Caenorhabditis elegans: one gene and its partner. The protein of the gene in region 1 interacts with the protein of each later gene in a pairwise test. Each region holds a gene or a part of one and is shown on either strand. Other genes may lie near its edges.

Region 1 (3,754 bases):
TAAATTTGCAGAATTTGCCGAGTTTGCCAAACTCGGAAAATTTCAAAATTTGCCGCACACCGCCTCTACAGTTGTTAAACTCTAGCGTGAATAAAGTATGGAATTCATAGAGTTTTTTGATCGACTTCCAAAATTATTATAGATAAAAACTGAGTCCACTTTTTGACTGTAAATTCAAAATTTTTAAAACAAATTAAAAATGTATTTAAAAAATAAAAATTTACGCATATTTATTATCTTAAGTTGCTAAATTTGTAACAAAATTTTTCTAAAATGCTTTGAAAACATTTGAAAGATTGAAAAATGAATACCTTTTGAAAGATTGGCAATGCCTGTAACTGCCGGATGTTCCCTGAACGTGTCTGATTGATTGTTCTGATCTATATTGACCTCTGAAAGAAAATATGGATTAATATTATTAAATTCTTTGAAGAAGAAATGAAAATGAAAAAAAAATGTTATGTGTCGCCTGGCTTCGACTGACGACGACGACGATCGAATTCTCAAATTTCAACGGACGAATTGTTGGCACACATAGACACTTACAAAATGTCAGGTCGACTTTTGTTAATTTTTGAGTATTCTTTGAACTTTTGGAATTCAGAAGTCAGAATATATTGTAAAGGAAAAGGATGAATCAGAAAGTAAGATTTAGATTGACTTTTGAGTGTTGTGCTTGTCTCTGGCTAATGGGTTAATTGCAAGAGAGGTCAATTTCCAATCTTCAGAGTTCATTCGTTTTGGAACTGACCTATTCGATTTTAATGTAGCTTATTTTTCACCAAAAAAACCTGTTTTCTTGGCAACAAACATGGAAAACTTATAGGCTACAGCAACTCTGAACTACTAAGGAATCACAGCACTTTTGATGAAATATGCAAGAAAATCATTTTTTCTAATCAATTTTCCTATTAATTTCACAAAACAATCGAGTGGCAAGGAGGGAACTTAAAAAATCAAGTTTTGAAGTTTTGAAATTTCCCACACATGTAGATCTCAACTCGAATAATATAGTTAGACTAATATCTAATTGAGTTCTAAACTCTAGTTTGAGACTAGACAATGTTTTAATACAAAATTTCATAGTAAACCTTTTCAAAAACTGGCAGTCGTTAAAAAAACCTTTTTCTTTTGAAATTTTGACACTCTACCAAAACTTTGAGTAAAAATGATTAGAGTGTTTAGTAATTATAATATTTGGCCATGTTTACAAAATTCTAAATTCTTACAGGCATTACTCTAAAAATTAGAAATGAAAAATATAGATAAGAAGGTACGAGGTAGGTGAAGGCATGTAGGTAAAAATTTTCGGGACTATGTTAACGGCTTATTGAATAATAGTCTCGTAGTCGAAAATAAACTTTTCTTATTCAAAAAAATCAATAAGGAATTCCAGTTTTCAGTGTGAATGTACCCCGCATTTCTTATCTTACAAATTAAAAAAAAGTTTCATGATATAAATTTTGTGTTCTAATCTGCAGAACAAAGAATGCAAACAAATTATGTTCGATGTTATCTAACTTTTTTTTGTTATTTCTACCAATCAATCTCAGTCAACATGAATCATATATATTTTCAATTGTTAGAAGATAGGAATATTAAAATAGAAACAATCTAACCTGAATTTGTGGAAGAATTGCTCATTCAATCAATAATTTATAGTTTGAAAGTTGATAGATAGGTACAATGACAGTAACTACTAATCAATTAGAATCAATTTAATTTCACTCTTCAATTTCTCAACTTTCGTACGAGTAGGTCTCGGTGTGTTTTCTCTATGTTTCTCTAGTTTTTCTGTGTTTTTTGTGTCCTATGCTACAAAATTGACTACGATAACAAAACTTTGATTTTGAAAAGAGAGAAAAAAGAAGGCGAAACGTACGTAAAATGCCTTTTTTCAAAAGAAAAATAAATGGAAGACGAGAAACTGGTTTCTAGACAGTGCGGGGCGATGATGTGTTGAATTTTGACTAATTATCGGATTATTCTGAGTTTAAATTTTCATTTCTCCGTATAAAACTTTGGTTTTGGATTCTTGCATATTTTTTCATTTATCAAAAAAAATTCCCAAAAAGCAGTGAACTTTTTAAAGGATTCAGACATGGTGAATCTGATCTATTCAAAAAACTGTGTTTTAATTGAAGACACAAACCATTAAATAAAAAAATTTTGTAATTCATTTCTTGGTATTGTTTTCGAAAAACGCTTAAAAAACGCTTCGAAAGAGCTTGTGAGTCTGAAAATGTTCTTCTGAAATATCGTTGCCACAGACTCATAGGCGTCTTCTTTAGAAATAATCTATGTATACTTTCAAATTTTTTTAAAGTTTTGTACACTTAGTCCAACATAATTGAATATCATTATTAAACGCTCCTAACGCCATTTAAATCTTTACAACTTTCAGTCAAAATTTGGTAAATTGCCAAAACTTCAACAACAAAGTCTTGTTATTTTGAGAATTTTTGCTGGTTCGAACCTGAAAAATTTTCAAAAAAAAAAGTTGATTAGAACGTAAATAATAAATTTTGTAAAAAATTAGTAAGTGAAAACTCTACTTGCGGTATTAAGCCTTTTCCAGTTTGTGATGCTTCATCTTCAAATCTAACTCTGAATTGCATATATCTGCAGTCAAAATCTTCCAAAATGCGTTTTTTTAATTCAAAATAGTACAAAATTAATTAATTATATTTTTCAACAGCTCTGAGATTCGAGAGGAAAACTATTTTAGATTATGTCCTAAATACAAGTTGCACAAAGCTTCGACTGAATCTTAAAAATTATTTTTGATGTTCGAAAACACAACGAGGTTGTTGGAAAAATATTTAAATAAAACTGAAATTTCAAATTATCAACTGTTCATAAAACTTTCCTTTATTCAAGAAAAACGCGTAGCTCATTGAGCACTGAGAGCCAATTCACAGACATACACACAAAAAAAGGCGTTGCGCAACGCAATTTTCTGTGACATTTAGCAAGAAACTCGTTCAGTGACCGACATAGTGCAACGTTAACTCTTCTACGGGGCACACCATAAAAGCGAACGACATGGGGATGTGAAAGTGAACGCATCACACGAGCTTCACCCATGAACTCTTTGATCTGCTCCTTTGTGAGATTCGAGAGCTTCGCCTGCTTGATCGCCACTTGAACTGACTTTCCTCCTTTCCGAAACTTCATCGTTCCCATCATCACTTCTCCAAATGCACCTTCTCCCAGCTTCTTCAGAGGCTCGATATTGTCGTGGTCCAGCTCCCAAGCTTGACGTGAGATTGCCTTGATGAGAAACACATCTTTTTGAACCGATTCCTTCTTAGTCAAGTGCCACTCCACCATTTCTGGGATTGACAAGAATGATACTTTTTCGATGAAGATCTTATCGCCTTTGGTTTTGATCACATAGTGTTTGATCTGAAATTAAAAAATACTTGAAAATAAAGTCTAAAACTATTTAATTACCTCTTCTTCCATTGGAGGAACGCAGTGCATCACACTCAGGATGTTACTTCTTGGTGATCCAGCTTGAGGCTCCGAGATGCGAATCACGAAATCTCCATTATTTTTCAAAACGGTTTTGACGTCTTCGCGGGGCAGGAACCCATGATAGTACGGCTCCTTTTCGATAGACGGTCGCTGCCTGAAATGATACTTCATTGAAGAGGGAAACCACGAGAATCACAAAAACTTACATGCTTGCTGTTCCACTTGCCATTTTTCAATGAACCGAGAGTTGTTTGAATTTAAATCTTACAACTTT
Region 2 (3,754 bases), on another chromosome or scaffold:
TAGTAATTGTCACTTTTTGACAGGAAATAAAAAAAATTTAAAAATTTTTTAGAAAGTTTTATTACGATGTTCAGTCATTTTGGCGCTATAGGAGTAGTTTTAACAATTTCCCAACTGGCGCTACTCCACCTTTAAAACATGCCTATGAGGTCACAATGACAGAATATTATGATTTAAGAAAAAAACCAAAAAAATTCGAAATTTTATATGAATTTTTGAAAGTTGTTAAAATATGAAGGTTTGTCGCAATATTGTGTTATAGATCGCGTAGAAAATCATATTTTTAAAATTTTTTTGAATGATCTTCTGCTATCAATTTCCAACCAATATCCAAATAATACTTCCTCAATAAGCTCCATTCCTCTTCCTCATCCGACCTCATTGCTCGGTCTCAAATTTCAAAGCTCAAACCAGCTCGTCGCCTAGCAGCATCCTTTGGAATATTAGATCATGTTCCGAAACATGCTCCATCCTCCTTCACCCGGAAAGCTTCGAGGGGAGTTGCGTGCATGCCAACCGACTCTCGACCCTGTCTTTTTCGGGACTGAATATTATGATGAAGAGACGCATCCGATTAGTCAGACGAGTCGAGAATTTCGAAACAGCGACCTGGTTCGAAATTTTTTCTTACTTTTTTTTCTCTAATCCTTATCTCAATTCTCAACACGCGATGATATTCAGAGCTCCCACTTGATAAGTACATCTCCTCTGCTGAAGGGTATAACATTTCTAAGTTTTGCATTTGTTGTTGAAATTAAGTTTCTAATCCAAAAACCTCCTTCTTTGATGAAGGGAATTCCGAAATTTGAGTAATTGCTTTAAAGCGTTTTTTTTTTTCCGAATATTTTTTTTCCGTGTCGCAGTTGATTTTTTTTTGAAGTAACATCCTTTTTTGCATATATATTTTTTAAATTTTTCTCTGGTACCGAAATCTGGGAAATTTTTTTAAATGACTCCAAATTTTCCCCTGGTTCCGAATATCGATGTGAAAAAAATAAATAAAAACTCCCTGAGTTTATATTCAAGCTTGAAATCACGAATTTCATTTGTGTCCAGTCTATTAATTCTCTCAAATGCGCCCGCCAATAAATTCGCATTGGAGCGCACTTGCATCGTTTCATTTTCCTCGTTAGTTTTACTTATTCACGGGGTTCTGGCCTTCCTCATTGAATTTTTCGCGCTCCATAGACAATCGCCCGCCGGACAATGCGTGGTAAAGTCGGGTACTCCACACGGACAATTACATTTAGTTTTACAACTAAAATCGAGCCGCGACGCGACACGCAACCCGCAGTAAATCTACCCCAGTTATGGCCGAGCTAATATGGCTTAGTTCGGCAAACTCTTCCATTTCAAATCATGAGGGAAGCCAGAAATCCGTACTTATTTTCGCCGAATTTAATTTGTTTACTTTTTTATCGGGGCACAAATGAAATTCGTGATTTCAAGCTTAAATTCAGGGAATTTTTTTTTTCACGTTGATATTCGGAATCAGGGGAAAATTCGGAGTCAATTAAAAATATTTCCCAAATTTCGAAACCCCAGCTTTAATAAGCTCCAAAAAATTGATGTTTTTTGATGTTTTTTGGAGCACCAAAACTAACTCAATTTTGTGTCATTTTATTAAAATTTTGGGGACAAAATCAAACAATAGTTTTGGTCAAGACTGTATTGTCAAATTTTTGATGTGTGCTGCAAATCTCTTTTTATAAAAATTGGCAAATTCGGTGAATTTGCCGAGCTTGGCAAACGGCAAATTCGGCGAACTTGCCGCACACCCCTAGTCTATATGTATGTACGTTTAAAACTGTTCAAACTGGCACTCCTCCTTCGAATGAGCCTTGAATTTTTATATTTTTCTTCCGGTTTTTTTTAACTTGACAAAGTTGTGTTCAACTTGATCGTCTGCTTATTAAGTTTTAAATCATTTTCTACATTAAATAATCAATAAACTATTTTTCCAGATAACACTTTATTCTATTGAAATGTCATAGACAAAATTAACTCAAGAGCGATAGAACTACTGTGTAGGATCTTCCCTCTTCCATATTGTAGCTGCCCGTTTTTTTGCCGGAAAAATCTAACAATATGCCGGTTGGGAAACGTGGACTTGTGGCGCCACAAAATACGTTTCTGGAGAATGTTATTCGGCGGTGTAATAATGCAGGTGAGTTAACTAAAATCGGTACATCCCTGGTCCCACAAAAATGGAGAATACTGAAATTTCAGATACTTCATTCATTCTTGCAAACGCCCAAGTTGTTGACTATCCAATCGTCTATTGCAATGACGGGTTCTCGAAGCTCGTCGGGTATACTCGAGCTGAGATTATGCAGAAACCATGCTCGTAAGTTAATTTACCTGGGTTTAAAAATGGGTGAGTTATTTCAAATCACTGCGATTTATTTTTTGTTGTTTTTATTCTTTAACCCATTTGTTTTTTTTGTTGAGAAATTTGGCAATTTTTGAAATTCTGAAATTTTTGAATATGCTAAAAAAATTTGGTGTGTTTTATTATGTTTATCGATAATTTTAAACCACAATAAAAATGTAATCAGATTAAATCTCCACTGATCGATCCACCTATATGTAGAAAACACTTTCAGACTTGCTTTCATGCATGGCGAACACGGCGAGGTGGGCAGCCTTCAGAAGATGCAGGAAGCTTTGGAAAACGCGAGAACCGAACAGGCCGAAATTGGATTATGTAAAAAGAATAGTAAGCGTTTTTGGAAAATGAACATTTGCAGCATTTTTCTTACAGAAACACCTATTTGGCTTCTGGTCCACCTGGCTCCAATCAAAAATCACAAAGACGCAGTAGTGCTGTACTTGTGCCAGTTTAAAGATATTACACCGCTGAAACAACCATTGGATGATGAAAACAATAAAGGTAGAGTTTGGTTTTAATATGATGAAAGTGTGACCACTCAAATAAAAGATAATTGCATCCGAAGTTATCAAGTTAACCTTTGAAAACCCTAAAACACCGAATATAACTGTAAAAAAATTTATAACAATTTTCTAAATTTTTTATGATTTTTTAAAATTTGAAGATGAGCTGAATTATTTTTGAACTCTATTTTTTTCTTTGTTGGAAAATTTGAAAAATAAATTGTCACTTTTTCAGACATTTTTCTGAGCAGAAAATTTGGTAATCGGAAAAAATTTGCTGAAACTCTGGGACAAAAGTCAATAGGTCAAAATTAAAAAAAAAAAGTTTCAAATTTTTTTTAAATTTTTAAAAAAGGTTTGAAAATTTACAAAAAAATTTTGAAACTTTTTAACATTTATATTTGGTACAGGGGTGGGCTGCAATTGCCGTTCGGAAAATTGATTTGTCGACAAATTCGTCAAATCAGCAAATTGCCGGTTTGCCAATTTGCCGGAAATTTTTAATTCCGGCAATTTGACGGATTGCCGATTTGAAATTTTCATTTTCGGCCATGATTCGGAGCCGGACAACGCGTGGAAAAGTGTCGTGTACTCCATACGGACAAATACATCAGTTTTACAACTAAAATCGAGCCGCGACGCGAAACGCAACGCGCCGTAAATCTACCCCAGATATAACCGAGCCAAAATGGCCTAGTTCGGCAAACTCTTCCATTTCAATTTATGAGCGAAGCCTGAAATGCGTGAAAAATTTTAGGCTTGTCACGAATTCTTCAAATAGCACGGATCGCAAAGTCAAAGCAGCAGTTCAACCAAATCGAAACGAAGGATCTACACAAGTCGCCGGGAAACACATCCA

What was found. Proteins that work in one complex are often made in the same cells at the same time.
Region 2: the proteins of unc-43 (region 1) and egl-2 interact in a two-hybrid assay, tested with the Caenorhabditis elegans proteins (one study listed by BioGRID).

Annotation. Positions count from the first base shown.
Region 1 is NC_003282.8:10,348,574-10,352,327, forward strand, and holds the start of unc-43 (Calcium/calmodulin-dependent protein kinase type II), read right to left. Parts: upstream 1,645-3,754; coding exon 1,620-1,644; intron 399-1,619; exon of another isoform or gene 393-398; coding exon 312-392; intron 1-311. Other genes in the region: Y43C5B.2 (Tyrosine-protein kinase), read right to left, coding at 2,872-3,408, 3,457-3,634, 3,687-3,709. UniProt on the Caenorhabditis elegans protein: Acts in the signaling of a variety of pathways and processes. Phosphorylates 'Ser-319' of daf-16 in response to stress signals, such as heat, starvation and oxidation, which plays a role in prolonging lifespan.
Region 2 is NC_003283.11:1,297,543-1,301,296, reverse strand, and holds the start of egl-2 (Potassium voltage-gated channel protein eag), read left to right. Parts: upstream 1-2,088; coding exon 2,089-2,167; intron 2,168-2,229; coding exon 2,230-2,347; intron 2,348-2,606; coding exon 2,607-2,719; intron 2,720-2,764; coding exon 2,765-2,893; intron 2,894-3,652; coding exon 3,653-3,754.